Callithrix jacchus: one gene and its partners. The protein of the gene in region 2 binds, or shares a complex with, the protein of the main gene of each other region. Links are inferred from orthologs where the notes say so. Each region holds a gene or a part of one and is shown on either strand. Other genes may lie near its edges.

The links.
Region 1: LIMS1 (region 2) and PARVA share a complex: the UniProt entries of both Homo sapiens proteins name them as parts of the heterotrimeric IPP (ILK-PINCH-PARVIN) complex. The link is inferred for Callithrix jacchus from reciprocal best matches to the Homo sapiens genes LIMS1 and PARVA.
Region 3: the proteins of LIMS1 (region 2) and RSU1 are in contact, whole or in part, in a crystal structure (PDB 7LT9), measured with the Homo sapiens proteins. The link is inferred for Callithrix jacchus from reciprocal best matches to the Homo sapiens genes LIMS1 and RSU1. Residues at the interface, in NP_001180417.1 of Homo sapiens: Cys252, Phe253, His254, Cys255, Asn256, Leu267, Asn268, Lys269, Ser279, Thr280, Cys281, Asn282, Thr283, Glu293, Phe294, Asp295, Met296, Lys297, Cys303, Lys306, Phe307, Pro308, Glu310, Leu311, Arg314, Leu315, Lys317, Leu318, Ala319; in NP_036557.1 of Homo sapiens: Asp21, Ser23, Asp24, Gln44, Val46, Ser48, His49, Val67, Asn69, Phe71, Asn72, His90, Asn92, Met95, Glu112, Asp115, Thr117, Tyr118, Arg137, Ala138, Tyr140, Ser142, Asp143, Ile161, Ser163, Arg165, Asp166, Glu184, His186, Gln188.

What each region holds. Positions count from the first base shown.
Region 1 is NC_133511.1:78,268,785-78,279,569, reverse strand, and holds the start of PARVA (alpha-parvin), read right to left. Parts: upstream 6,860-10,785; 5' UTR 6,767-6,859; coding exon 6,631-6,766; intron 1-6,630. UniProt on the Homo sapiens protein: Plays a role in sarcomere organization and in smooth muscle cell contraction. Required for normal development of the embryonic cardiovascular system, and for normal septation of the heart outflow tract.
Region 2 is NC_133515.1:20,415,334-20,425,593, forward strand, and holds part of LIMS1 (LIM and senescent cell antigen-like-containing domain protein 1), read right to left. Parts: intron 8,877-10,260; coding exon 8,756-8,876; intron 8,319-8,755; coding exon 8,169-8,318; intron 5,971-8,168; coding exon 5,820-5,970; intron 5,253-5,819; coding exon 5,160-5,252; intron 3,864-5,159; coding exon 3,815-3,863; intron 1,486-3,814; coding exon 1,410-1,485; intron 1,220-1,409; coding exon 1,072-1,219; 3' UTR 1,028-1,071; intron 1-1,027. UniProt on the Homo sapiens protein: Within the IPP (ILK-PINCH-PARVIN) complex, binds to F-actin, promoting F-actin bundling, a process required to generate force for actin cytoskeleton reorganization and subsequent dynamic cell adhesion events such as cell spreading and migration.
Region 3 is NC_133508.1:17,409,275-17,419,127, reverse strand, and holds the end of RSU1 (ras suppressor protein 1), read left to right. Parts: intron 1-997; exon of another isoform or gene 998-1,130; intron 1,131-1,438; exon of another isoform or gene 1,439-2,100; intron 2,101-4,043; exon of another isoform or gene 4,044-4,645; coding exon 4,646-4,748; 3' UTR 4,749-5,285; downstream 5,286-9,853. UniProt on the Homo sapiens protein: Potentially plays a role in the Ras signal transduction pathway. Capable of suppressing v-Ras transformation in vitro.

The DNA of each region.
Region 1 (10,785 bases), on a different chromosome or scaffold from region 2:
GGAAGGGACTATGACCGGAAGGGAGCACAAAAGGACAGTTGCACATATGGATGAGGACTGGGCAAATATGGTAGAAAGGGAACTTGAAGGAGCTCATAGCTGGTCTCAATTTTCTATTTGAAGATCCACGAAAGGGGTCTAGGGGCTGTGGACAATAACATGGATCCAATTGTTCAAGGGGTGCCCCTTGAACAATGCAGGTTTGAATTTCAATACATGTAAATGTTTAAAATAAATGTATTAGAAATTTTTTTGAGATTTGCAACAATTTGAAAAAAATTGCAGATAAATGATGTGATCTAGAAATATCAAAAAAATTAAGAAAAAGTTAGATATGCTCAGGAATTTGAGATCCACCAGGGCAACATAGCAAGACCCCATCTCTATGAGAAAAGATATATTTTAGAAAAATGAGAATGCACACTGATTAGAAGAAAAGGATAGCTCTGCAGTGCTAAGGGTGCTACTCACTCTAGAAACCATACATTTGTCTCCAGCAACACTGGGCAGCCAATGATAATCAAGTGGTAAGAACCAGTACTATTAAAAGAATTATGAAATTAAAGCCTTCATTGGATACTTCAGGTCATCAAAATATAAAACTCTGGGGGATAAAAACTTAAGTGAATGGGTAAATGACAGGAATGACCAGTGCTGCCAGCCTAATTCAGGTGCCTTCAGCAGACAGGTACAATTCAAGATGGTGTTCCTCGAAAGAGCAAGTCTTGACAACAGATTCAGAGAAAGAAAGTTGAAAGCGGCCCTCTGGCAAGCAGACTCTGAAATGGTAGTCTAAGAATCCACACAGAAGGGCCATGTCCAACATAAATGGGATTGAAAACCCAGAAGAAAAAGATCAACAGAGAAAAACAAAAGCCACTTAAGCTACAACTCATAAGAATGGTGTTCTTATGACATCATAAGAAAGACACCATAAGACAAAGAGAAATGGAGGGTTGTGGTCTGAGGATGGTTGTCATAAAGTGCTGAAATGCGACTTCTTGGGAAACAGGAAAATCTCACTTGCAAAGAAAGATCCCTGAACTCCTAAAGAGACAAAATAATGTCACGCAGGTTCCATACAGTCATGGGCTACTAGGCTATTTACAGAACCTGAAAAAGCCATGCAGCCCATAATTAAAAGACTATTTCAAATTTCAAAGACCAATGAAAATTGAGTTGTCAATTTTAATAGGTACCGTTATTTGTGCCGTGCAATGCATTATACATTCTTGATCTCATTGAAACTTCACGACTTCCATGTAGAGAAGGAATTCATATTCTCATTTTATGGATGAAGACGCAGAGGCTTACAGGGGTTAAGGAACTTGTCTTAAGTCATAAAATAAATAAGCGGTTGAATCAGAAGTCAAATTGAAATGTGTCTGATCCTAAAGACCATGATTTTAATCCCTATTCTCTCTTGGACTCTAACACTACTTTTTATTAGGAAAACACAGAAAACAAAGAAGTGATGACTAGTTGAATGCATTCTTTTTTTTTTTTTTTTTTTTGAGATGGAGTTTTGCTCTTGTTACCCAGGCTGGAGTGCAATGGCACGATCTCGGCTCACTGCAACCTCCACCTCCTGGGTTCAGGCGATTCTCCTGCCTCAGCCTCCTGAGTAGCTGGGATTACAGACATGTGCCACCATGCCCAGCTAATTTTTTGTATTTTTAGTAGAGACGGGGTTTCACCATGTTGACCAGGATGGTCTCAATCTCTTGACCTCGTGATCCACCCGCCTTGGCATCCCAAAGTGCTGGGATTACAGGCGTGAGCCATTCTTATGAGACTCATCGTCATTCTATGACATAGGTTTCCTTAGGAGGACATTTTTTACATGACATTATTAACATAATACAATTGATCCCTGAACAACACAGGTTTGAACTGCAAGGGTCCACTTATATGCAAATTTTTTCAATAACTATATGGGAAAATGTTTTTGGAGATTTGTGACAATTAGAAAAACCTTGCAGATGAACCATGTAGCCTAGAAATATAAAAAAAAGTTACTCATGTCATAAATGCATTAAATATACATCGATACTTGTCTACCTTCTCATTTGCTACAATAAAATATAAACAAATCTATTATAAAAAGTTAGAACTTATCAAAATGTGCACAGACACACAAAAACTGTACCTGATGCCATCTGCAGTTGAGAGAAATGTAAACGTAAAGGTGAAGTATTAAATCCTCACTGCACAAAATGAACTGTCGTACATACTGTACTACAGTAATAATTCCACAGCTACCTCCTGTTGCTATTGTGGTGAGCTCAAGTGCTGCAAGTATCTGCTTAAAACACCGTGTGATGCTAATCATCTCGACAGGAACAGTTCATCTCTCCAGTAAATTGTGTATGGCAGTTAAAAGTGATCTCTTGAGGTTCTCGTGTATTTTTCATCATGTTTAGTGCAATACCATAAACCTTGACTAACAGCATGGGACTCTAACGAAGTGCCACTAGAGACGCTAGAAGTACTCCCAAGTATCAGAGAAAGTCATGACATTCTAAGTTGAATTGCTTGATATGTACCATAGATTGAGGTGTGCAGCTGTGGTTACCTGCCATTTCAGACAAATGACGTAAACTTATGGTATCGATAAATATAGCACAGTTCTGCAAATGTATTTTCCCCTATGATTTTCTTAAGAACATTTTCTTTTCTCCAGTTTTCTTTATTGAAAGAATACAGTATATAATACAAAATATGTGTTGACTGACTTATCAGTAGGGTTTCTGGTCAACAGTAGGCTATTAGTAGTTAAGTATGGGGGGAGTTAAAAACTATACACAGATTTTTGACTGTACAGGGGGTCAACATCCATAACCTCCATATAGTTCAAGGGTCAACTATATTCTAACAAGTATTATATCTTTCCATTTGTTGTGTCCTAGAGCGGGGTACAGCAGGTATCAAATGAATGAATGGGAGTCCCTGGGCCCAGGAGAATTCTACATCAAAGCATGGAGATAATTTGTGGACAGACTAATGGCAGTGATCTTGAGGAATGACAAGTTCAAGAACACCAGGGAGAAAGTAAAAGAAGGCAGATTCTACAGAGCATAAAGCTGTGAGCTTATCCAGCATGCAGAGCAAGACCCAGCCTTATTATTACTGAATTGACGGTTAATGGGGCCCTACACCTACCAACCATCACTTCAGCACTGATCATTGCGATCCAGCACATACTCACTAAGGACAGTCATTTCAGAACAACCCACTGCCTTCTTTGACTGGGCTTGCAGAAACACCATGTGCAGCAGCAAGCAGCTGGAGCTGGGTGGTGGCCAGCCCTTCAGAAGAGGCTATGTGTTCTCCCATTCATCTATTTACAGCCCCTGGATTAGCTGACAGACTGAATGACAGAATCAGGACTTTACAGTGAAATATAACAGGGATGAAAATAAGATCTTGCACTTGGTTTCAAAAACCCAACTGAGTAAATCCAAGATAGGGAAGGGTGTAATTTAGGAGCAACAAATATAAAAATGTCTTTGAGTAAGCTGATAGCAAAGCTCAATGAGAGATTACAATGCGACATAGCTGGCAGAATGGCAAAAAGCAATCTTAGCTGCATTAAAAGAACATAGTGTCTGTACTAGAATAAGGGAGGCGACAGTCCTAATCTGGGCTGGCTGATCTGCATTACAACTGTACTACGGTGACTTCTGGAGAGCTCACTTTGAGCGTGTCTGCTAACAGGTTGATCTGCTAGGTATTCTCCATTTACCCTGTCCCTACTGTGACCTGTTCTCTGCACTGCTCTGTGCCCCAAGGAAGCTGCCTCTATATATTGCATTATCCAGATCCCTTGCTCTGATGACTCCCCACTGGGTTCAACACCAGTAGGAGATGCAAGGGCAAGAAGAGAGAGAACATGCAGAATGTGCATTTCTTGTGTCACTCTCTCCTTGCTCCGCCTGCATATTTCTGGCAGTGGCTGCATCCCTCTATGACTACAGTTCCTGTCCAGTAACCCCTCATCCATAGCCCCAGCTTGTAACAGGTTCCATTTTGCTGCCCTTGTCCCTTCAGGCCTTGGAGTGGTAAGTGCTTCTTCCTGTTGCTAGCCCCTAGGGACCTTAGCATCCCTTCTTAGTTCCCTTAACCCTGCCCACAGCTCTGTCAATAGCCCCTTCACTAAATTATTTTCAAAATCTCAACTAAATTGGCCTTTTTCCTGCAGCGACCCTGACTGAAACTAAACAGACAGGATGCAAAGGGCCTTAAAATTATGTCTGTGAGGGATAGAGGATGTTGGACCTGGTGGAGAGGACTCTAGAAAGCAGGATAGCCTACGTCAGCAAGGTATTAATAAAAGTCCACCTTGGACTCATTCTTTGGCTCCACCAACAGCAGTGGGTATGAAGAGATAAATTTTGGGCTAAATATAAAGTAAACCTTTCTACAGAGTAGGTAAAGATGGTTCTCCTGGTAGGTCATGAGCTTCAATATTTCTGAGTTGCCCCATCTTAAACTGGATGAGCCTATGTCAGGAAAGCTGTGAGGAAGAAGTTAGAAATATGATCTAGAAAAGCGTTTTCCAAGCCAGGGTTTCATGATTTGCCACCAACTGTACACTACTCAATGGGTTACCAAAATAACCAAATTGTGGAGAAACTTTCATGTGTTTTGCTACTTCTTGTTTCAATCTAGGGAACAGAAGTCTGGTTCTTCACCAAGTCTGATAATCCTCAACACTGAAGATGCTTTTATACTTTTAGATAATTTACAAACATAACACATTTTACACATCATCACAGCTTTCAAAAGGTTATTTCCAATTCACAGAGTAATCTATTAAAAACATTTTTTAGGGGAGAAGAGAAGTTGATTAACGGTTACAAATATACCATTTGATAGAAAAAATAAGACCTAGTGTTAGACTGGTAAAGTAACTACAGTTTATAATAACCTATCGTATATTTCAAAATATCTAGAATTCCAATGGTCCAGCACAGAGAAAAGACAAATATTTAAAGTGATGGATATCCCAAGTACACTGATTTTGTCAGAGGCATGTGAACCAGAGCAACTCCATCTTGAATGGGGCTAGGTAAAATAAGGCTGAGTGAGACCTACTGGGCTGCATTCCCAAAAGGTTAAGCCATTCTAACTTACAGGATGAGACAGGATGTCAGCACAAGATACAGGCCATAAAGACCTTGCTGATAAAACAGGTTGCAGTAAAGAAGCAGGCTAAAACCCACCAAAACCACAAAGGTGATGAGAGTGACCTCTGGTCCTTCTGACTGCTACACTCCCACCAGCGCCATGACAGTTTACAAATGCCACGGCCACTTCGTTCAGGAGTTACCCTATATGGTCTAAAAAGAGGAGGCATGAACAATCCACCCCTTGTTTAGCTCATCATCAAGAAATAACCATAAAAATGGGCAACCAGGAGCCCTGGGGGCTGCTCCATCTATGGAGTAACCATTCTTTTATTCCTCTACTTTCTTAATAAACTTGCTTTCACTTTACTGTATGGACTCATCCTGAATTCTTTGGTGCGTGAGATCCAAGAACCCTCTCTTGGGGTCTGAATCCGGACCCCTTTCCTGTAACAATTTGATCTTTATAAATTACATTAAATTATCACATGTGCCCCAAAACTATGTACATCATGCATCAATTAAAAAATGTTTAAAATAAAAATTTTTAACTCAGCTTCTATCTACACAGCAATCACCACTGTGCTTGAGAACTGCCACCTGTTTTCAAACCAAAAACCAGGATGCAAAATCTGCTCCTGGGGAAAAAATATTCTACGTGCAAACCACTCTGGGGGAAAAAAACAAAGTATAAGGTCTCCTCAATTAACCCTGGTTGGCGGGGGGAGGGGGGGGTGCTTGCAAAATCCCTGAATACCTGAGTTCACAGCAGGGCCGAGGCCCATGGCTATGTTTGTGTCCCCGGCAAGTTTTCTCCTTGGGTGGGAGTTTACCATGTATTATTACACCGAAGGTACACTAGGTTTGCCAGTTTTCCGCTCATTCATTCAACAAACACTCGAAGTCCACCTACTCCCATTTAACAGAGCCCTTCTCGGCCCTCGGGATGGACAAAAGATCCCAAGAGGCCAACACTGCGACGCCGCTGCCAGAGGACGTCAGCAGGTCCAGGAAACGACCTGATTTTAAGGACCAATGAAGGCAACGAGTGAGAGTGACGGCGCCCAGGAAAGTTGCGGCGGAAACTTGGGAAATGCCAGCCTTCGGGCGCAGAGGGCGGGGCAGGGCCTACAGAACCGCGCCGCCTGAGGGCTGGGGCCCGGCCTGGGCTCGGGTCCCGCCGCCTCCGGCCGCCACGCGGCGCCCGCCCACGGCCCGGCGGGGCCGTCGGCCTGGTCCCCGGCCCAGGAAGCCAGCGCCCGGACGGCCGCGAGCGGGCGGGGCGGCCCCGATAGCCCGCGAGCCCCGGACTCAGTGTGGGGCGCGCGTCGCTCCTGCCCGACGTGCCCAGGAAGCGCGCGCACGCATTGCTGCGCGCCCCACCGCGCCGGGCACCCGCGGCACGCTCCCGCCCGGCCCCGGCGCCCGGGCCCCTCAGCCCCTCCGGCACCACAGGCTTCCACCGCCCACAGCTTCCACCGGCCGGCTCGGCCGCACTCACCCTCCTTGGCTTTCTTCCTCCGGGCCAGGGTCCCTCCGAGTTTACCCAAGAAGGAGTCGTCTTTCTTGCGGGACGGGGGCGACTTGGGAGTCGGGGACTTGGGGACAGAAGGCGACTTCTGTGGGGAGGTGGCCATGGCGCGGCGCAGGCAGCCGCGGGCCGGTCGGGACGCGGAGCTAGCGCTGGGCGGACGCGGCGGGCGGCGGCAGGACTGAGGCTGCGGCTTTCCAAACGGAAGCGGAATTATTCCAAGCATTTGAGGCAGCTCACGCTCGCCTTTCCCTTCCCTCGCTCCCTCCCTCGCTCCCTCCCTCGCGCCGCCCTCTGTCCTGGAAGGAGCTGCGCTCCCGGGACTGCACCCTGCGCCCCTGGCCTGCCCCAAGCAGGGAGGATGCCTCAAAACTGTCCTTCGCAGGACACGAGGCCGTCCCTGTGTGCTCAGTTTAGGAGCGCTCGAAGCGGAAAGCTTCATTTACCCAGGCACCACACAGCCTGGCGCAAAGCAGATCTGAGAACCAACCCAACCCTGTTACTGCCCCAGGGCCTTCCAGCCGGGCTGGCTCTTCCCCAGCCCTGCTGCCTGTGGGATTATTAGATCCACGTCTTGTGCCCACGAGACTGCAGCTCCTGGAAGAAATTACTGGAGTGAACCAAAATGTGTCCAGGCCCCACCAAAGTGGGCACAGCCAGTCACTCTTGAATCTATCCATGACCGTCAACCTCTTCTCCCATCCAAGACTGAGAAACTTGGAGTGCACAAGGGTAGAGCCGAGGCTTCTTATTCTTGTAAGACATCCGTGTTTCTAGCAGCTCAGTGGTTTATACAAAGGAAGATCCCACATGGTGGCAGAAACATGAATGGGAAAGACAAAACCATAAGCTCCTACAGGACCTTTCCCCAAATTTACCCTGCCTAAGTAAAAGCAAGAGACTGACGACCAGACTCATTGAAGATAACAGGGGAGTCACACAAAGCGCAGTGTTGGAAGGACTCATACTGGAAATGATTGAAAAGGCATGTGTTATTTATTGTGCTTGCACACCTCAAGTTCTCACACGGGCTCTTTGTCCGTCTCTCTCTCACACACACAGACTCACAGCGCCTTGGCAACTGTGTTTCCTCCTTGTGGCCCCTTCCCTCTAGGCTACAGCTGATTGAACCTAGGTGAACACCTGAGCCAAAGGGGGCTACTGCTTTACTGGAGAGCAGCCTATCGGCTAGCCCCACTTAAGACTCTGCCCTAAGCTGGAGAGACTGTTGTCAGAAGTTGTCCACATGACTGATGATCATTCGCAGTCAAGACTGGGGTGGCTGTTTCTAGCCACGTGCATGCTAACTAGTAGGGAAACAAAAAAATGGAACTAAGAAGTGTGCTCAAGAAGCCACGTGGTCTGAGTAATGGAAACCATGGGGAGTAGCTGCCTGGACCTTGAATCTTTTCCCAGACCCCACTTGCACTTCCTGTCAGGGCCAGCTGCAATTCCTTCCCAGAAGATCTCAACCTTTTATTAACCCATCTACCTTTCCTTAGACTAAATAAACTGACAAGCAGCAGTTTCTGAGTAGAACTAAAATGTAATAAACAAGATAGTCAATAGGTTCTCAACACTGTATAGGTTCATTTTATCTTTGCTTGAGAGTCATAATTTTACTTTTTTTTTTAATTCTACTTTAGTTGGTGCCTCTTACCTAGAAGCAGAGAAGTCATGATGTCTGTTAGCCTGGGAAGATTACTAGCCAATAAATCTTAAAGGGATGGTGAGAAGCCAAAATAGAACTGTGTTTTGATTACATCATTAATCATTTTTGTTCAGGATATCAGATACAGGACATCTCCAAAAGCATATCTCCAGCCCCGGGAGCTCTTGTCAGGTAATTAAGAGACACACAGCTCAATAGCTGTGTGATCTTGGGAAGGTTTACTTCCCTTTTCTGAGTCCCCATTCCTCATCTACAAAATGAAATGGTTGGTACGGAATGGTGGTTCTCAAACTCGATTGTGCATCACAGTCCCCTAGGAGTTTGTTACATTCACAGGCCCCATCTCCAGAAATCCTGATTCAGTAGATCTCAGGTGAAACCAAGGGATAGGTATGTTTTAAACAGACTACATCAGGTAATTTCAGTGTATTAATAGCTGATTCACACACTGATGTCTTGCCACTTAGGGCTACTTTCAGCTCTAACAGTCTGTGGTTCTCTCTTCTTTCAAAAATTGCTAATATCTGTATGCAAGACTTAGTCCTAAATGTGGCATAATCAAATTACTCTTGGAGATGCCTTCAATTGCCCATGCATGCTTTTGCATATATAATACTCCTCAGGAATTGTTATGTACACTAAACATTGAAAACCACTGAGCAACACTAAACGGAAGAATAGAGTCTTGATTGTTGAATGGTAGCTCCCAGAAAATATCAGCAAAATAAGCTGTGGAAGAAGGCAAAGCTGCATTTTTTGTACCCCATGATAAGGAGAGCCCTGCCTTGCCAGAGTCTTAGTAGCATCTTGGAGTGGGGGAAGGCAAAGGAGGGATATTTATAAGTTTTAGAATCTTGATTAAGACAGGCCTTTCAGCGCAGTGGTGCTTGATTAAGTTTGACTAAGGATCATGATGTAATAGTTTAGGACTGGTAGACTCAAGGCAAAGCCTTCCTAGACTCTTGCAGAGTAAATAGTCTTTTTTATGCTATCTATTCAAAAGTCTAATGAGTTTATGTTCATTGATGAAATTTTGGGGCGAGTTATTGAAAAGAATAAGAAAGTTATTCATAACTTTTATCTTCCTGGGGAAGAAATTTTTGGAAGATAGACAGGGGAACCATCAAGTCCTGTTAATGTATTCAGTAACCTGCGTTGGTGTGAATGGTTTGCAGGGCCTCGATACTATGCCGATATCTTGTTATTCAAGCATTTCTACTTGTGAGATCATTATCACTCTCTCTGAAAAGACCAGTAGGAATGGGTGATGAATCATAAATCAGTGCTGCTCACAGCATACTCTGCAAACCAGTATTGATCTGGATACCGTTATTAGCCAATGATATAAATGTAGAAATTGAGAGCTTTTAGAAACTTTTATAGCAATTTAACAACACTTATGTCTGAGAATCAGAATCTTATATTTCGAATATCTTTTCATTCAATTTTGCTAGTAATTTTTATTTTTATTTTATTTACAAAAATATTGCTCTGCAATGAATCGGTCCTTTAGCACAGATTGCTTGGGAAGCTCTGTTCTACATTGTTCCTGTTTACTTACAGAGTTCATCTACTCGCTTTTGATATGCTTTTAGAATCCTTAAGAATGTGAATTGATCTGGTTTTTGTTTGGAAGATTAAATGAGATACTCTGTGGGAAAGCACCATCTCTGGGTCTGGCACTGATGTCGACTGAATCTAAATCTTACTTAGTCAGAGACACGCTGCATGCTGTTCTTGGATAAGATGAGGAGAAGACCTCGTACCAGCTCCCTCCAATCTAATTGGTATTTACAATTATGTCTCCACTGAACAGCAGCCCTGCTCATGCTTGGTCATGGTTTTCATCTTACACGAGGGATTAGATTGTAAGGACAGATAATCAATTAAATGTGTGTTGTGTGAGACTCTGCTGAATCTCTAGGCAGCCTCTTGAAATTGGGGTCTAGACACACCACACTGGAAGAGAATAAACTCAAGTTCCAATCTTAGCTCAGCAGCCAGGTGATCTTGGATAAATCTCTTCCCTTGCTGCATTTATTTTTCCCATCATGTATAAAATGAAGCCGAGGCAATACCTACTAAAGCCAACCATCATACATACCTTATGATCATCAATTTCAATTATAGGTTAATTTCAATTACAGGTTGGGTGTTTGTTGAAACACCCAACAAAAATGAGTACGTGTTTACACCCAGATACAGGCTCTAGAAAGTTCACAGAAGCACCATTCAAGTGCCTGTTAACAGTTGAATCAATGAATTGTGATAGTCACAGCAATGAGTGAAAAATTTGCAACTACAGGCACAATAGGAATGTATCTCACAATATAATGTTGAGCAAAAGAAACCAGACACAAAAGAGCACATACTGTATAATTCTATTTACGTAAAGTTCACAAACAGGCAGAACTACTCCATAATGTTAGAAGTCAGGATATTGATTAGCCTTG
Region 2 (10,260 bases):
AACTGAAACAAAATATTTTTAGAGCTCTAAACACAATGGTAACTATGAGGGAAAAATGGAAAAATCATGCTAGTAATTTAAGAGAACGTCAAGGATTGAAATACTTCCCATAAAAATCAGGAATAAAAGAGACTTTGAAGACATTGAGGAAATGAATTCATAAACAATAGCATATGAGCATTGTATGAATGCATACATAAACATCACAGAAGAAGATGTCTTATGTAAATCAGATGGACTTTGCCTAGATGTGAAATATGCTGAAAGATTTTTTTTTCTTTGAGACAGAGTCTCACTCTGTTGCCCAAGCTGGAGTACAGTGGTATAGTCATAGTTCACTGCAACCTCAGCCTCCTGAGTAGCTGGGACTACAGGTATGGGCCACCACGCCAAGTTGATTTTTTTTTTTTTTTTTGTCAGATGGGGTTTGGCCATGTTGTCCAGGCTGGTCTCAGAATCTTGGGCTCAAGCAATCTTTCCACCCTAGCCTCCCAAAGTGCTGGGACTATAGGCATGAGCCACTGTGCTTGGCTATGCTGAAATAATATAAAACATAACTTAGAACATAAGTTTTAAAAAATATCATATTTTAAAAAATATAAAACAACACTTATAATTTAACAATTAAATGATTTTGGCAAAGAAACAAAAAAACCAGGATTTTAAAAGCTACAGTTATTAGACAAAAATCCTTGAAAACTTTTTCCAGGGTCTATTAAGAGATTAGAATTCTTCCCTTTAAATCCATGAACAAAATAGAAATGTATAACATGGTGTTTAAAAAATGAGGTGAGTGAGTCTACAGAGTAAGTGAAATATATGACCACAAACCTGTATTAAGTATGGAGCATATTCATTTAATATTTGTAATTTTAGTAATTATGCAAAAGGACCAACTCTAAAGAGGACAAATGCTTGTATTTCAATCTCTGATGACTACAAATACATGCCCAAAAGTTGTGGGGGTAGGGGGGAGGAAGAAAGCAAAAGGCAGAAACAGAACAAAAACATATTCCAAAGGACTAACCAAAGGAGAAAGTAGTGAAAATGATGACAGAGGGATAGAAAAGTTTACAAACAGACTGGCTTTTTCTTTTTCTGCTTGTCCTTATCCTTTGCTTCTCTCTCGCGTTTGGCAAGTCGCCTCTTAAATTCTTCTGGCATTTTCTCATAACAGTGTTTGCAGACTGGCTTTAGGTCAATTTCAACAAATTTATCCCTTTAAGCAGGACAAAGAAGGAATAGAAGAAAGAACAGGGAAAAATTAAAGGAAGACCCTTTACTTTCAGAAGGCGTGAACAGAAAGAGGAAATAAGAAATCAAATAATTCTCTTTTTCTAGGATTTTTTTAAGTGTCACCCCAAAGTTTTCAGTCTTAGGATTCACATTGGACAAAACCATAGACTTACTTGAGTGTTAATTTAGTGTTGCAGGTAGAACAGGCAAAGCAGTTCACGCACCAGGCCTTATTAAGAGCAGAGACCACTAGACAAAGAGGAAAGAGATCTGGTCACATGGAAATACATCAGTATGGGGAGCAGGGCAGCTTAGAATTTCAACTCTAAAACAGAACTATGACTGCAATGACTGTGTCTGTGGCACCTCGGGGAGACCCTTTTTTTTTTTTTTTAATGAGACAGGGTCTTGATCTGTTGCCCAGGCTGAAGTGTGGTGGTGCAATCTTGGCTCACTGTAGACCCAACCTCCTGGGCTCAAGTGATCCTCCCATCTCAGCCTCCTGAGTAGCTAGAACTACAGGTGCATACCACCACACCTGGTTAATTTTTTTTTTCTTTGAGATGGAGTCTCACTCTGTCGCCAGGCTGGAGTGCAGTAGCATGATCTTGGCTCACTGCAACCTCTGCCCTCTGGGATAAAGCAATTTTCCTGCCTTAGCCTCCTGAGTAGCTGGGATTACAGGCATGCACCACCATGCCCAGCTAATTTTAGTATTTTTAGTAGAGATGGGATTTCACCATGTTGGTCAGGATAGTCTCGATCTCTTGACCTCATGATCCACCTGCATCAGCCTCCCAAAGTGCGGGGATTATAGGCATGAACCACTGTGCCCAGCCTACACCTGGCTAGTTTTTTATTTTTTGTAGAGACAGGGTTTTGCCATGTTTTCCAGGCCGGTGTTGAACTCCTGGGCTCAAGCAATCTGCCTGCTTCAGTATCACAAAATACTGAGATTACAGGTATGAACCACCATGCCCAGCCAAGAACCTCTTTCTTGAGAGGTTCTTTTTTTTTTCTTTGTTTTTGAGACAGGGTCTTGCTCTGTTGTTCAGGCTGTATTGCAGTGATGTGATCACAGTTAGAACTCCTGGGTTTAAGCAATCTTCTCACCTCATTCTCCTGTGCAGCTGGGACCACAGGTGTGTGCCACCATGTCTGGCTAATTTTTTATTTTTATTTTGTAGAGATGGAAGTCTATGTTGCCTAGGGTGGTCTTGAACTCCTGGTCTCAAGCAATTTTCCGGCCTTGGCCTCCCAAAGTGCTGGGATTACCGACGTAAGCCACCATACCTGGCCCTCAACCTTTATGTGTACAGTTGTTCCTCAGTATGTGCAGGATACTGTTTCTAGGATGCTGTGCAGATACCAAAATCTCAGATGCTCAAGTCCCTGATATAAAATGCACATAATCTATGTACACTGTCTCACATACTTTAGATCATTTCTAGATTATAATGCCTAGTACAATGCAAATGATATATAGTCATTATACTGTACTATTTTTATACTGTTATTTTTCTCTAAATATTTTTGATCCATAGTTGGTTGTATCACCAAATGTTTGGATCCAGCCCTTGGATATGGAGGGCTGACATTAATCTTTCCCTGTTCTTAAGTATCCTATGAAGGTGTAAATGATGTGTGCCATATCTTACACCAGCAACCATGCCCCCTTGGCCCAGGCACATGTGGTGACTGTCCATGCATGATATTGGTTAGGTGAGCTTGGTGTTTCTGTACCTACTGCTGTTGGCCCAACAAGGAAATATGAACTAGGTAAATAATTTTGAAAAATCCAGGCATTAACGTATTTGTCTGTAGGAGTCTTTTTTCCAGAGCTGATGATAACAAGAAAGTTTGCCTTGTAGCTCCTTTTACCTGGTGTCTGTTTCACAGAGGAGGGAGGTAAGTTTTATTTTCAATGGCACTGAAGATTGTTTTCCTGGACTAATCTTTTCACAAACTGCACATGAACAGTGTTTCAAAAGTATTTCCTGAATTAGGTGATGTCTGCAGGGAGCCATGAATCATGCTGAAAACAGGATTGTTCAAAACTTTGCCAGGAAGTCTCTGGCAGAATTGTGTTAGCAACTGTTAGCAAACACAGCTGCTTCCTTTCTGTTCCAGTCAATCAGTCCAACCTAATTACCACAGTACAAGGGGTAGTAAGTCCTAGATGTGCTTGCTGATAACTGCCAGGTTTTAGCATGTGCAAGTTAAAGTGCCTCTTCCTAACTACATAGCAGATTAAACTGTTCCTAATAAATGTTGTTATGGAGCTTCCTGGAACTGGACAGAAACAGGTCTATGGTCCACTAGGGACAGTTCCCATGATTGCTGGCATACAACACTGTGGCAGTGGCTGAAAGTAGTATCATAAATGAGTAACAAATCCAACTCTTTGATATTATCATCTTACTGCTACAGATTACTTGGGAAATACACCAAAGAAAGAGAAAAAGCAACTGATAACGATCACATTCCAAACAACAGCAATCACCAACCTGAATTTCCACATGGCCCAAGTGTTTCTGTGTCAAAGTGGTACCAATCTAAAACTCACACAGATACTTACCATCACCTTCTATAACACGATTGCAGTGAAAGCAAACATCACCAAATAGCTGAAAATAAAAAAAAGGTGGTTCAAGATGTGTTAGAATTAAGTTTTACAATACGGAACATTTAAAAACAAATAGCTGGTTATCTAAATCAAGAATTTATCACTACTGGAGAAAATTAGTAAAAGTTCTTTGACAAATTTTTACTTTTTACAGTGAAAACAATTCACTTTCATCAATTAAAAAAAAATCTTTCCAGAAGACAATTTGAGCACCCAAATAAGTAATGTGAAATATAGAAATCTGTGAGTATATATGGATAGGAAACAGATAAATGAATAAACTTATAGATGGCAGAGGAGGTAGGTTCTTGCTCAGGCAGAGCGCTGAGGACCAGACTATGGGTGGAGAGTGTGGGGCTAGAGAACTGTCATTTGCAGCTGGTGCAGAAGCAAGAATCATAAAGGTGTGGTGGGTTGATGAGAAACAAGACATTTCCATGGTCATAAAATGATGGCCCACAGATTGCTTCCTTCTTACAAAGGAGTGAAGGAAATTGTAATTCATAGTGATATTATCAGCTAGCACTGTGCCTGGGAGATCACCAGCGCAAGAGAGGTGATTATGAAGGGCTCCAGGGACAAGGCTCTGAGAGAATGCACTGCTACTGTGTGAGGCTGCAACCTGCTGTGTATAACCTCATCTAACCACAGAGAAGCAGCAGTGGAAAGCACAGAGAACCCAAGTGGAAAGTAGTCTATTAAAAGGGGGTAGGGGCCCTCTGCATCCTTCCAAAATGTCAATACCATCAAAAACTTAAAAAGGCTCTGGAAATGTTCCAGATTTAAGAAGGCTAAAAAAACATCACAACCCTAGACTGTTTTTTCTAGGAGTAGAAAAAATTGCTGTGAGGACATTATTGACTCAAGTGACAAAACTAGAATAAATGGGTTAAAGTATGATATCAATACTGATAACTACAATTATGTTAGAGAGTCTCATATTCTTGGGAAATACATATTGAAGTATTTAGGGGTAAAGGAGTATGATGAATTTATTGGCAAATGCTTTAGAAACAGCCATCATATTTGTGTATAATATTTATGTAAGTAGGTGTTTTACACAGCAAGACTGAGCATAGAAAATGATAAAGTAAACAGTGGACTTGAATGAAAAGCATACAGGTATTCTTTTTATTTTTTATTTTATAGTTAGCTTCTGAGTCTGAAATTATTTCCTAAATAGTTAAAAACATCTCTCCTGAACAATGTATATCTTCCAAGAGATTTCCTTGTAGCTAAACTACTGATAAGCAAAGTTCATAAAGTCTATCTAGCATCCAGTGACTAAGGTCAATACCTGGTTATAGTGGGTTTCACAATATGCCAGGCCTTTCCTCTCATAATGGCGATGTCCAAGGAACGGTTTCTCACACTTGGCACAAACAAAATGCTGAAAAAAAATTGCTATAGGTCATTTTTGATTTGCCATATTTTATATCTAATAAAATAAACCACAAAGTTAACCTATCTTCAGAGAAGATGAACGAACGTTTGAGATAGTCATTTGATTTGGCCATAGGTAGCTCCCTAATATAATACTTTTGCAGTTTTAATTCACGTGTCTATCTTTGACAGGTTACTTTAAGACATAGCCTATTACAATAGCCCAAAAAGAGCAAATAGATGAGTACCCCAGTAGCACCTATAAAGGAGGAGCTGCTGCTGGATACAGACCATGGCACTTCCTGCTTCAGGAAGGCTTTAGGTGCAAAAGTCTACATCCTGTATCATTACTGAGAAATTCACAAAAGCAGTATATATTCTATATTCTGAACAGTCAGCAAGTCAGTTGTCTTTAAAATGTCCATGTTTAACCTTTAGAATCTCCTAAATCTTGCCAGGACACCTGAATCATGGAGATTTGAAAGTACTGGTTACCCCTAAATCATAGAGATTTGAAAGGATTGATTACTGCTGAATCACAGAAGTTTGAAACGATTGGTTACTCTCAACTTACCTCCACATGCCACTGCTTGCCCATGGCGTTCACTACGCGCCCTTCAATGGGCCGTCGGCAAGCACCGCAGATGGGGACCCCCATTTTATCATGGCATGGCAGGCAGTACAGCTCCCCTTTGAGTTCCCGTGCATCAGCAGTCAGCTCCTTCCTATTCGTGAGAAAGACACCCAGCTTAATACCAAGAGAGAAAAATAGCCAACCGATAGGGCCAGGACAACTTTTAAAAGGTTTTTAAAGAGATTACTATGACAATCCCTGCAAATTTCTTTTTCTCCCTTTAGAGGTGATCAGAGTAACCTGAATTAATAGGTCCGAATAGGTTTCAGATTCTTACCAAAACATCTGTATCTTAAAAGGATAAGATGCAATACTAGGTTAGATATATACCACCACACCAGTCATATTCATCATTTCTTTCTTATATAATCACATTACATTTATGTCCATTTGTCTTCCTTTAAAAGCTATGGGGAATAATCACAGTGCTGAGGGTAGATTCAGTAATACTACCTGCTGTAGTGTGAATGCATCCCCCAAAGTGCATGATCCCCAATGCAGGTGTCAGGAGGTAGGGACTCTAAGGGGTGATTAGATCATGAAGACTCTACCCTCATGGATGGATTAATGCTGTTACTGAGGGGGTGGGTTCCTTATAAAAGGACAACTTCAGCTTTCTCCCTTCTCTTCCTCCCTTTCCCTCTCCTCCCACCCACTGTGTGATGCCCTCTGCCATGTTATGATGCAGCAAGAAGGTCCTCACTAGATGCCAGCCCCTTAATCTCGGACTTCCTAGCCTCCAGAACCATGAGCCAAATAAATTTCCGTTTGTTACAAATTGCCCAGTTTGTGGTATTCTGTCATAGGCACGTAAAAGAGACTAAGACACTACCTTTCCAAGCAAACTGAGAAGTTGATAGACTAGTTCCATTTACTAACAATTATTTAAATTGTCACAAGCTGTTGAAAAGAGCTATAGGTTAATCGGTTTAGGTTTATTTTCATAAACACATGCCCATAATTTTCCTTCTCCAAATACTCAAATTAAATATTATTTTCACTCTCCTGCATCAATAAACATTTGGTCAGAGATGGTTCCAATTAGTCAAATGGACTTGTTTGAATTTCACCCCTTTGAAGTAATTCTATAGGAAAAGTGGACAGAGGAGAATCTCCCAAGAGGAAGGATAGGCAAGAAAACAAGATACAGCACAAACTGATAATTCAATCACAAAAGATGAAATGGCTGAACTTATACCACCAAACAGTTTTCTTAATATTTAGCCTACTGTTTCTTCTCTATCCCTAATATAATTTAGCATGTAAGTTCACATTAACTACAGTAAAGAATCTTTATCCACTAAATTTTTACTATGAATTTAGAAAATTCATAGCCCAACAATTTATCATAACTTTTTGAAGACAAAAAATTAAATAATTTCTTTTAGATGTAAACCAAGCCAAAGTAAATATAACACTGTATTTTAAGATAATACCTAATTATTACAACTGTAAAAGTAATGCATGTACAGAGATAAGACCTTTTTTTGAGGTTATTTTTGGATCTTCTATTGGAAAAACAGTGATAACAAATAGTTCTGGGGATATTGGGGGTATTTTAATATGGACTGCTAGTTGATATTATAAAATTTTTGCTAATTTATATGGTAAGAGTACTGTGGTTCTGGCCAGGTGCAGTGGCTCATGCCTGTAATCCCAGCACTTAGGGAGGCTGAGATGGGTGAACTGCTTGAGCTCAGGAGTTTGAGACCAGCCTGGGCAACATAGCAAGGCTCCATCTCTACAAAAAATTTTAAAAAATTAGTCGAGAAGGGTGGCATGTACCTGTTGCCTAGCTACTCTGGAGGCTGAGGTGGAAGGATTGCTTGAGCCCAGGAGGCTGAAGTTGCAGCAAGTGATGATCGCCCACTGCACTATAGCTTGGGCGATACAGTGAGATCCTGTCTCAACAAAAAATTAAAAAAAAAAAATTTTTTTTTAAAGCATCGTGGTTCCATAGGAAAATGCCCTTATTCTCAGGAGATGTATACTGAGTCATGAGAAATTTTAGAGGCATGTGTATACATGCACACGTACACACATACATGGGAGGGTGAAACGAGAACGTGTATTGTACACACATAAGCATGATAACATGTTAAATGGTGAAATAAAATTAAGGGTACACAGATTTCATTATATCATTCTCTTGACCCTTCTATAGTTTTAATATTTTCTAGACTAAAAATTGGAGAAAAACAATTTGGTTTGCTAGAGTAACAGAAATATAGATAAACGGAATCTTTCCTTCCCACTGCCTGTGTAATAAAAAAGAAACAATCCCAATACCCGCAGTTGGCACAGTTGAAATGATCTGGATGGTAGGGGTCATTCTTGAATATCAGAGGCTGCTCGTCGATGATGGCATGGCATTTCTGGCAGATGTATTTCCCAAGGCCTCTGGCTTTCTCACGATTATGACAGGGGCGACACAGGTGTCTAAACGGAGCCAAAACTTAAATTTAAAATTTTAGGTTCTTTCTAATAGTTAGAAAGAAACATGCTTCCCTTATCTCTGAAAAGAAATTAAACAATTTCTTTAAAAAAAAAATCACTCCTCTGCTTTTAACAGAGCAGAATCAAGCTACATGGAAAATGTGTTCCAACCCCAATATCTGACTGATCTTTAAGAAACTCCACCTATGTACATCCCCCGCTGGTAGTTGAGCCATGCGTGGAGCCGTTATGCCCTGTGCACAGCAACACAAGGGTCCACTCCCAGCAGCAACATTCAGTCAACACACTGCACTGTCAAGTTCCCATGCCCTCAATTCGGTGTCCTACAGAACTGCCTTACATCCCACATGGAGAATACACATGATCTTGTCACAGTCACATTATCCACTGACATCTGACAAGGATGAAAATCCACCTACCTCCCAGCATTCTTGACAAACCCAATATCTGCCAGAACCTCCTGGCAGAGGTCACAGCGGAAGCACTCCGGATGCCAGCTGTTATTCATGGCTTTGATAACTCGGCCAATGATGAATTCACCTGTGGGAAAGCAACACAACAAAGGATGTTACTAAGTAACATCCTAAGTAACAAGCATGGCACTTTATTTACTAAGAGGGCAATTAAGGAAAAACAGTGAAGGGAAAAAAGGTTTAAACCTTTCTCCATAGAGGAACTTTTTATTTATGTGTGTGCCAGAGTAAGCACATTAGAAAAAAATTTTTTATTTCATCTGAGTCTTTGTTTTTGATTCAGTTGCCACATTTTTGGGCTGTTCTGTCTTCTCTGAATATAGCTTTCCTTTCCAAACTGGGCTTTCTTGAATGCCTTTTGGTTATTTCTGGTCATTGTCAGCATAGACAACTGAAAACTATAGCAGTTTCTTATAACCCACACTTACTTTATTCTTTCATTAAACCTTTAGAACATTCTACTCAGTTTCTTCTATCTCTGGAAACCTAGCAGAGCTATTAACAACCAGTGAAGTGGCCAAAATGCAAGCAAGTTAGTCACTTATGTGCCATGCAAGCAGCGCTTAAGCATCCTGAAGCATCTGAAGTACCTCACTGATGTCTTCCCTGCCTCTTTCCTGGCAAAACCAAAAGCAAATAGATAAAGGTGTGTTAACACAGGAAAAGAACACTCCCTTGCCGGGCGCGGTGGCTCAGGCCTGTAATCCCAGCACTTTGGGAGGCCGAGGTGGGTGGATCATGAGGTCAACAGATCGAGACCATCTGGTCAACATGGTGAAACCCCGTCTCTACTAAAAATATAAAAAAATTAGCTGGGCATGGTGGCGCGTGCCTGTAATCCCAGCTACTCAGGAGGCTGAGGCAGGAGAATTGCCTGAACCCAGGAGGCGGAGATTGCGGTGAGCCGAGATCGCGCCATTGCACTCCAGCCTGGGTAACAAGAGCGAAACTCCATCTTAAAAAAAAGAAAAAAAAAAAAAAAAAAGAACACTCCCAAACGCCAACCAATAGGAGTCCTAGTTCATCCTGAAATACTTCTACCCTAAATGTCCTTAAAAATCAATTATCTCTGGTTTTGATACTTCTCCGGCTTGTTATATATTAACAATAGGGAAGAGGACTGATGAAGTATCCAACAGTTATTCATAATGAGCACCAAAAAACATTTTTACCATCAATACTTTACCAGTGTGAAATGACTGAAGTAATTTGGAAACTTAATTGTCCTCCCCCTGACAAGATGGAGTTTTGCCCTGTTGCCTAGGCTGGAGTGAAACGGCACGGTCTCAGCTCACTGCAGCCTCCACCCGCTGCATTCAAGCAATTCTCCTGCCTCAGCTTCATGAGTAGCTGGGGTTATAAGCACCTACCACCATGCCCAACTAAGTTTGGTAGTTTTAGTAGAGACAGGGTTTTCCCATGTTGGCCAGACTGGTCTCAAACTCCTGACC
Region 3 (9,853 bases), on a different chromosome or scaffold from region 2:
CAGGTCACCCTAAGAGGCCCAGAGACATTCACCTACTTGGTTAGTTCTCTACTGGTGCTCTAACAGATTATCAAAAACTTGGTAGCTGAAAACAAATGCATGGATTACCTGACAGTTCTGAATGTCAGAAGTCTGAAATCAGTAGGTCGCGTCCTTCAGGAGATTCTAGGGAAGAATGTGCTTCCCTACCTTTCTGGTTTAGAGAGACCACCGTGTTCCTCGGTTCATAGCTGCTTCTTCCATTTTCAGAGGGTGCAGGGTAACGTCTTCAAATCTTTCACTCTGACCCTCGTTCCTGGTTTTCTTTTTGATTGTTAGGGTCAGGGTCTTGCGCTGTTGCCAGGCTAGAGTGCAGTGGCGTGATTATGGCTCACTGCAGCCTCAAACTCCCGGACTCAACTGATCCTCCCAGCACAACCTCCCGAGTAAGTCGCTGGGACTTCAGGTGTGCTCCACCACACCTGCCTACATTTTTTTTTGCTTTTTGTAAAAATAAGGTATCCCTATGTTGCCCAGGCTGGTTATGAACTCCCAGCCTCAAGCAGTCCTCCCGCCTTGGCCTCCTGAAGTGCTGGGGTTACAGATGTGTACCCCTGCACCTGGCCCCTCCTGCCTCTTTCTTTTAAGAACCGTTCTTATGACACTGAGCCCACGGGATCATCTAGGTTCTTAACTAAGTCACGGCTGCAGAGTCCCCTCTGCCATCTAAATTAACAGTCACAGGTTTCGGGCATTGGATGTGGCTATTTCGGGGGGCGGGGCATTATTCTGTCCACCACCCTTACTTGAAGCCCCGTGGCTCATCAACTGGCAGAGCCAGTAATGGAACACCAGACTTTACATCTTGTTGTGACTGCACTGCCACAGCCATGTCCCCGTGAAAATGGCCACTTATGGCCGCTTAGTAAAACACCACCTCTCATCTGCCCACACAGCTGGAGGAGTTAAAGGATCCTGTGGCGGACAGCAGCGTCACGCAGCCCTGCCGATGACTCACCGAGGAAGTGGGGCGACGCATTTAGCTCTGCCTCAGGTGCTTTCTTCAAAGAGGATTAAACCCTTTGTTCCAGAGGTGTTTGGGGATTTAGCGTTGATAGAAAATACCGTGTTATTTTGCAGGGGAAACGGCCCTAAAGGAGGAAGGTAATCATATAATTATATGGATTTAATCACTCTAGACTGTAAACTGTCCCCCCCCGCCCCGCCCCGTCTGCCCTATTTTTCAACAAGCCTTCGCTCGCTGCTTCCAGTAGGGTACCTTGCTGGCAGGCTTACCAAACCACCCTGCAAGGAAGACAAACCCCATCTCTAGCTTACAGATAAAGAAACTGAGGCACGGAGAGGGAGGCGAACATTGCTGATGACTTGCCCAGAGTCAACAGCTAATAAACGTCAAAAGCAGGATTTGAACAGCAAGTTCAGGGCCACTGGCTCCCACCTGGCCCTTTGTAGTGACTTGCTCCGCAGCCCCAGGATGTTCTGACACACTCAGTGGGATCTGAATATAAAAAGACAGAGACAGAAACATTCCAGTTCTCCCTGAAAAAGGAGAAGAGCCCTGCGGCCTTTGCAACCCCTTCTGAAATCCCTTGCCTGGATTCCCATCCTCAGGGCCCAGGTGAACATCCACCCCTTCTGGGAACCCCCAACCCCCACCTCGGCCCTTCCCTCATTCAAGACGTGACACAAAGCAGCGTCTTGTCAATTCCTCTCAGTTCTGACTGCTCCTCTCCCTCTGCTGACCTCGTATCATTGCCGAGACCCTTTCTTTGCACTCAAGCATTGCTAGGTTTCCATGTGCATGAACTGGGGAGTCATCTTTCTGTTGACTTTTACAATCCTTAAAGTTTGGAGGCTGGGTGTGTGGCTCATGCCTGGAATCCCAGCACAGTTGGGCGGCCAAGGTGGGCAGATTACTTGAGGTCAGGAGTTTGAGACCAGCCTAGCCAACATGGCGGAACCCCATCTCAACCAAAAATACAAAAATTAGCCAGGCCTGCTGGTGCACACTTGTACTTTCAGCTATTCGGGAGGCAGAGGCTGCAGTGAACTGAGATAGTGCCACCATACTCCAACCTGGGTGACATGGTGAGGCTCCATCTGAAAAAAAAGAAAAGAATTCTTAAAGTTGGAAACTGTCTGAATAAGAATGTGCATATATATGTTTTTGCTCTGTGGGAAAAACAGGTCAGAAAATAGAGGAAAGCTCTGTGAGGCTGTAAGGAAGCTGTGAGTGTAGCCGAAGCTGCCGAGGCCACAGGTGTGAAGGCACAGAACAGAGTCAGACCCTTGCTTCCTGCCAGGTGAGAGGAGCTGGGAGACCTCAGCCCTTCAGGGTGTCTCCTCCGCAGTGTTATGCCCCTGAGCATTTTGCCAGTGGCCCTGGGCATCAACATCCCAGGACAAGGGCAGATGCTAGTAGAGCAGTAAGTATGTTTTGGAGCATGCAGGATGAACAGAATGGAGGCTTCTACTTTCCTCTATTTGCTGCATCTCAGAGAGATGCTGAGGGGGAGGAACACAAGTTGGGTCTACCTGGCTAATGCAGGGTGAGCTTTCCGTCCAGCACGGGGTGATCCTAACTTCGAAACTTCCAGAGCCCCTTTTGTCATGTACGGTAACATCCTCCCAGGTTTCAAGGACTCAGACACAGATATCTTTGGAAATTGGGGGCAGCAACAGAGGGAAGGTTGGGCCCACTGAAGGTTCCTCCGTGTCTAAACCAGTGGTCTCTTACCTGGGACCCAGGACCCCCAGGTGCCCATGGCCTCATCTTCAGGGGAACTTGACCCATTTAAAAGTGTAGGCTGGGGGAGCCCCTATAGGTTGAAAAATGTGTTTTTATGGAGCAGATTATCTTGACATATTTCTCCTGTGGCTTCAGAGAGGGCACAGCCAGGCTGGGCAGAACAGGGCTGCTGTCTCCCTTACACCAGCAAAAAGACCTCTAAACTAATTTCTAGAGAAGTCGAAAGCTAATTTGCAGGCTCTAATGTTCTCTGTCTAGGACATACAGAACCTTCTTGATGCAAAAGAACGGGCTCCCCTTTTCCTAAAGCAGGCTCAGCACCTGACTGCATGTGCCCGCCCTGGCTCGTGGGTCTGTCCCTGGCCAGCTCTGAACCCTGCATTCTACACTGTGGGAGAGTGACTGTCATGCAACCTGCTTGTACCACCACTAAGACACTGGGAAGGCTGGAGAAGTTAGAACACAGCATGCCCTCAGAACCAGTGTCCAGCTTTCCTGGGTCACAAAATGAATTGGGCAGTTCCATGAGCCAGCCCTGCCCCCTCAGCCATGCTGCAAATGTCATCCAGAATACCACTATTGCAGGCCAGCAGGGTGGCTCATCCCTGCAATCCCAATACTTTGGGAGGCCAAGGCACGAGGAGTGCTTGGGGCCAAGAGTTTAAGACCAGCCTGGGCAACAAAGTAAGACCCCATGTCTATGAAAAATATTTCAGCTGGGCACGGTGGCTCACACCTGTAATCCCAGCATTTTAGGAGGCCAAGGCGGATAGATCACTGGAGGTCAAGAGTTCAGAACCAGCCTGGCCAACATGGCAAAATCCTGTCTCTACTAAAAATATTAAATTAGCCGGGCATGGTGGCACGCGCCTCTAAGTGCAGTAACTCCGGGAAGGGGACGTTGCAGTGAGCCAAAATCACACCACTGCACTCCAGCCTGGGCAACAGAGTGAGACACGAGCTCAGAAAAAAAAACGCCAGATGCCAGTAAATACTAAACTGCCCAAGATTCCAGCATCCAGAGAAAATATGTATATTCCCTGCGTGGATGTTGGAGCTGGGGCCGCCTGGTAGAGATGCCAGTCTCTGTGCCAGCCCTCCTTCACTTGGTTCAAGTCAACCACAGGCTGTGGAGCCTGGTAATGTCCTTGCTGTAGAGGACCTGAGACACCCGCCAGGCTCTCGTGGAGACACAGTTATATCCATAAAAGGAGCTAAGGTTGAGCTGTGTTTATTTTAGGGTGGCTTTTAATTTGGTTTAATCAGAATCACTCATAGATTATCAATTAATTACCTTCTGCTGTTCAGTTAAATCCTCTCAGCGATGGAGCCAGTTTCAGTGTGCAGTGAATGCCATCCACCGTAATTACAGGGCACTTTGTCAGCATTTCATCAGCGGTACTTATTAACGTGGCATTGATGTGTGGTAGCCAGCCCCATGCCATCCATCATGGGTGAGCAGCCAGTGCAGATTTGGACACCATTGCTCTCTGTCACATCACCCAGCCCTGGGCTTTCACGCCAAGCCTGATGCTCACTCTTCACTAAATGGACACTCCGTCTCTTCCATTCAACCCAATTTTTACCACTGTCGACTTAAACACTCACAAGCTTTTTAACTTCAGTCCAGAACAGCTGAGCTGGGCCTGACCGGTTCTCCCAGTGAGTGTGAAATCCCAAGAGACTGGTCCATGGTTGGACAGCATGGCGTATGTGTGTAAGAGAATTTTATATTCAACACAGCATATGACCCAGAGAACACGCAAGTGATCTTTTGGTTTTCTTTGGCTTACTGAATATTTCTGGAGATTGTTCTATTCCTGAAAGCTCTTCCAATGAAAGCGTATCTTGTGTTGGCAAAATAGATCTGATGGTTTCCTGTCTCTGTCTTTGCAGCCTCTACGGCAGACACATGCAGGCCAACCCAGAGCCACCAAAGAAGAATAATGACAAATCGAAAAAGATCAGCCGGAAACCCCTGGCGGCCAAGAACAGATAAGGAAGGGGTTGGCATCAGGTGGCCTTCCAGCACCTTCTCTCTCCAACACTTCACTCACTCTTGCTCTGTCTCTCAAATAAACACAATGCGTGTATGGCCTTTTTTATATTTCTTTTCACTCTTTCTAATGCTTCCCACCGTACCTTTTAGATTCTTCTGGTAGGTGGGAGATTGTTACAAGGTCTTTAAACCGTTTCCAGTTTTTCTTTTACATTACCAAAAGCATAGAACAAAACTCTTATTCAACTGCAAATTGCATAGTGGGCACAGGCTTTTCTTGAATAGACATCACAAGGTTGCTTATTATCCAAAGAATAATTAAAGTCATGTAACCATTTAAATGTCACTTTTAGTGACATTTTAGTACTTTTCACTCTTCCTGTTGATTCACATAACTCATTATTTTGCTTTATTAAAAGTCTTCCTTCACCACTGAGATATGTTAATTTCACTTACAAATGATATTTTAATAAAGTCTTGAGTTTGTATCACGTTACTTATTGACCCCAAAATAAAGAACAGTCCGATCATGGGGTACAGCATGTTTTCATTTACTTTTCTCCCCAAGATTATCTTGTCCAATTTTATTGGTTATAGATGATAAACTCAAACTTTTCATGAAAGAAATGCAAAATTATATCACAGTTCGTTTCTTCTCACATTAATTTGTCAAGTTTTTTTTTATTTTTCTTCTTTGAAGACTTCTTTCTAAATTAGGAAGCAGAAAAACAACTCTCTAGGAGATTCTGCCAAAGGATTTTGGAAACTAGCATTCCTTCGCCGAAGAAATGGTGATTTCTGCCAGGGGCTGGTAGACAAGAACTGTGAAAGGGAGAGAGATAAAACCCTCAACTATGTTTTTTTGTCTCGGCAGAAAATCTGCTCACATCAGAGCATCCTCCTAAGCGACTTTGTTGCCAAAGAAGTTGTGTAAATGTGCACACACCACACCACACCCAGTGTGGAAACTGCAGTTGCGGAGTCATTACACCTCCAATTGTTTAACATCTGTGATAGACAGCTTTCCTTCGTCTCAACAGTGCTGTGTCTGAAAATGAAAATAAATGCAGGCTGAGGTTTGGCGCCCACTCAAAGGGTTGCCAACCCCAGAAGACCTGCACGGAAGAAAGGTGTGTGAAGATGCGACGTCTTTTCGAATGCACTGGGAGAGGGGGCCCACCCTTCTCTGCTGTGTACTTTCAGCTTCTCACTTGTGCTCCCCTGGGGTGTTTAAAAAGCCAAAATCAAAATCAAACAAAAGTTCTGAGTTAATTAGGAAACAGACTTTGCATTTCAATCAGAGAGGCCGCAGAGCAAGGTCTGAACTTGTGGCTCTGGACAACTTCCTGATAGAACTTTTAACTGTGGGAAGAGGCTTCCCCGGGTGCCATCACCTGTTTTGGGATAGAGAGTTGATCACTGTTTTTCTAGATGCCGTGTTTGTCTCTCCCTCAATTTTTTTTTTTTTTTTTCTTGAGACAGTCTAGCTCTGTCACCCAGGTTGGAGCGCAGTGGCACAATCTTGGCCCAGTGCAACCTCCGCTTCCCGGGTTCAAGCGATTCTTCTGCCTCAGTCTCCCAAGTAGCTGGAATTACAGGCGCCCGCCACCACACCCAGCTATTTTTCATATTTACAGTCGAGATGTGGCTTCACTGTGTTGGCCAGGCTGGTCTTGAACTCCTGACCTTGTGATCCACCCGCCTTGGCCTCCCATAGTGCTAGGGTTATATGCATGAATCACCATGCCAGGACTGCCTGAATTTTTTTAGTTGATTTTTTAACTTGTGAAATTGCAGGAGGGAGAACAATGTCTCTGCTGTTGTGGATCAGAAAAACTTAACCCAAAATTAAACCAGCAAGAAAGCATTAGTAAAAATATAACAATATGCAGGGCTCTTAGGAGTCATTTTTTTCAAAAGATGAAAACTCCAGATACACACAGGAATGAAATACCTCCAAGAAACATGAAGCAGTCATCAAAGACTCACTGGTAATATATTTTTAAAGTACACAAATCAGAGCAAAATAAGCCATGTGTAACAATGAGAAATGTGCAAATATTATGGCAGTATGAAGCGCAAGAGGATTAACATGAAATAAACATTCTCACACACTGCTATTGGGAATGTACATTTCTCTCCAGAAGGGTCGTAGCAGTTTGACAATAGGTAGCAAAACCTTAAAACTGTACTTGGGCCTAGAATTTTAATTTCTAGAAATGTATCCTAAGGAAATTATCAGAGATTCACACAAACTGCAACGTTTAGGAATTGCCGCTATACCATTGTATATGCAGAAAAACAGAGAAAAGCCTGATGCGTGTCAGTGGAAGAAGGGTTCAGTGAATTATGGTGTATCTGCGTGAAGCTTTTACAGGGACATAAAAACTGTTGAGCAACAGCCGGGTGCAGTGGCTCACACCTGTTATCCTAGCAGTTTGGGAGGCTGAGGTGGGCGGATTGCCTGAGCTCAGGAGATCGAGACTGACTTGGGCAACATGGTGAAACCCTGTCTCTACTAAAATACAAAAAATTAGCTGGGCGTGGCAGTGTGCACCTGTAATCCCAGCTACTTGGGAGACTGAGGCAGGAGAATTGCTTGAACCCGGAAGACGGAGGTTGCAGTGAGCTGAGATCACGCCACTGCACTCCAGCCTGGGCGATAGAGAAAGACTCTGTTTCCAAGAAAAAAAAATTGTTGAACAGTAAGGGCAAAGAGAGAGAATCATAACATGATTAAGTAGAAAAAGCAAGATTTTTAAAATTAACTATGTAAGGATGGTCCCAGCTGTGTCAAAAGGAAGCTGTGTTTTTAATATGTATGCATAAAAAATTAAATAGAGATGGAACACAATTTTAAGGCAGATAAATTATCTCTGTGTATGGTGAACTGAGACTTTTTAGAATTTTATACTTATTCATTCTGTACTTAAATTTTTTATAACGCATACTTTTGTAATCAGAAAATATTAAACACATGTATTTTTCAAAATGAAATTGGTATATCATGGTATGTTATGCAATCCAGGAAATATATATATTTAAGCTCAAGGCATAATATACAATGTTCGGGGTGGGGGGATTTTCACTTTTTGTTACCAAAACAGGTTTCACATCTCTTCCTGCAGTTTTTAGTTGCTTGATACCTGGATCAACAAAATATCCAAAGTTTGAAAGGTGCCCCCTATCCCCCGCCCCCCCCCCCTTTTTTTTTTGAGACAGAGTCTCACTCTGTCACCCAGGCTGGAGTGCAATAGCACAATCTCTGCCCACTGCAACCTCTGCCTCCAGGGTTCAAGCTGTCCTCCTATCTCAGCCTCCTGAGTAGCTGGAATTACAGGTGCCTGACACCACACCCGGTTAATTTTTGTAATTTTAGTAGAGATGAGGTTTCACCATGTTGGCCAGTTTGGTCTCAAACTACTGATGTCAGGTGATCCCTTCCGCCCACCGGGGCCTCCCAAAGTGCTGGGATTACAGGCATGAGCTACCGTGCCCTGCCAGTCTATGGCTGCTCTTATGTGACCACAGCAGAGCTGACTGGCTGACACAGAGACCCTATGGCTCAGAAAGCAAAAACTTTTTACTGCCTGGTCCTTTCCAGAGAAACTACTGCTGATGATTCTATCAGCTGTTACATCCCCAGCACCCAGAATGGTGCCTTGTATACAGTAGGGGCTCAGTAATTATTTAATTGAATAGACTACAAATTGGATACTTGTTATTTGGATGATATAAAGCTAATATTAAGGAAGAGGGAAGTGAAAAATTCCTAGATATTCCTTTAGTGTCTTCTGCTTCGTCATTCAAGCCTACTTTATCAAAGCCAAATTCCCCTAAGGAAGAAAACAATCTGCAAGTATTATTATAGGTGAGAGTTTATACAACCCTGTAAAAGTTCAAGCCTTTACCCAATTTTTTGGTGGTTCTTATAATTACCCAATTGTTACATACTTGACCATTTAGCCTTCCTCAAGCAGCCATCAATTTCTTCAGTAACAGAACCAGAAAGGGCTGGCACCCCAATTTACCTGTATAAACCCAGAGGAAGGGGTTCATGTCAGAGGCAAATTCCAAACCGCTCCTGTCAGTTTGAGTCAATTTCAGATGTTTAGAGGCAGCAGACTGGCAAGTAAAGTGAAAAGTCTCTGTTCTGCACTGGACATTTTGTGACCTAAAATTAGCCATTATTCATGTGCATCTCTCTCCATGTATAGTAACATGTGATCCTACCATATATGGTGTGTGCCTGTTTTTATAATTGATTTTCTCATCAATAACAGCTTTAGGAGATTCCTGGGTTCTAACATCATGTTTCCGATAAGACTGCATAAACATTTTACGTATTACCTCTTACCACATGCTTCTTTTATACACAGTAGAATTTGGTGATTTGCCATTGTTAAATTTTCCCCTTAATCTATTTTCTTTTATCAATAATAGAGCTCATTGACTGAAGCCTGTTCGTCTATCAGCCACTTACATTTCCTTTCATTCTCACTCAATGGACATCCTCTTTTGTGGGGAATTTGACCTCAGAGAAGGAACTTCCCTCAAGGGCCCACAGCTGGCAAGTGGCAGAAGGATGGAGGAGAACAGGCGTGTCACTCCAGAGCTAATGTCCTTTCCGCAATCCCACATCACATTCTGCTGTCAATCAATACTCCCCTGGCCTATCCAAAAGGCAGCAATTTTCCTTCCCATCACCTCTTAAACTGGAGTTTCTGCTTTTGAGCTCCTGAAGTGTTCATTTTATTAACACATTTAAGTCAGTGCATGATGACAGCCAGGTTAGGGAAACTTTACGCCATTTCTGTAAGCGACAGACCTTTGGTTTCTGCTGTCTGTTCCCATGTTTGGTCAGACAACAGCGTCTCTCTGATGGCTCACTGATGGACTGACCAAAGCGGATGAAGCCTCACTTCTGAGAATAACTTTGCCCTTTCACCAGCTCTTCTACAAATTCACTTCCAAACACTGTCCCATCAATGAAATTTTTGTACTCCAAGGGAGATTCCCTCATATGACCCACTCAAAGAGCAGTGCTTCCTGAAAGAGGCAGAAAGTGGCTTTGGGTTTCATTTTGAAGCAGATGGGGCCTGGCA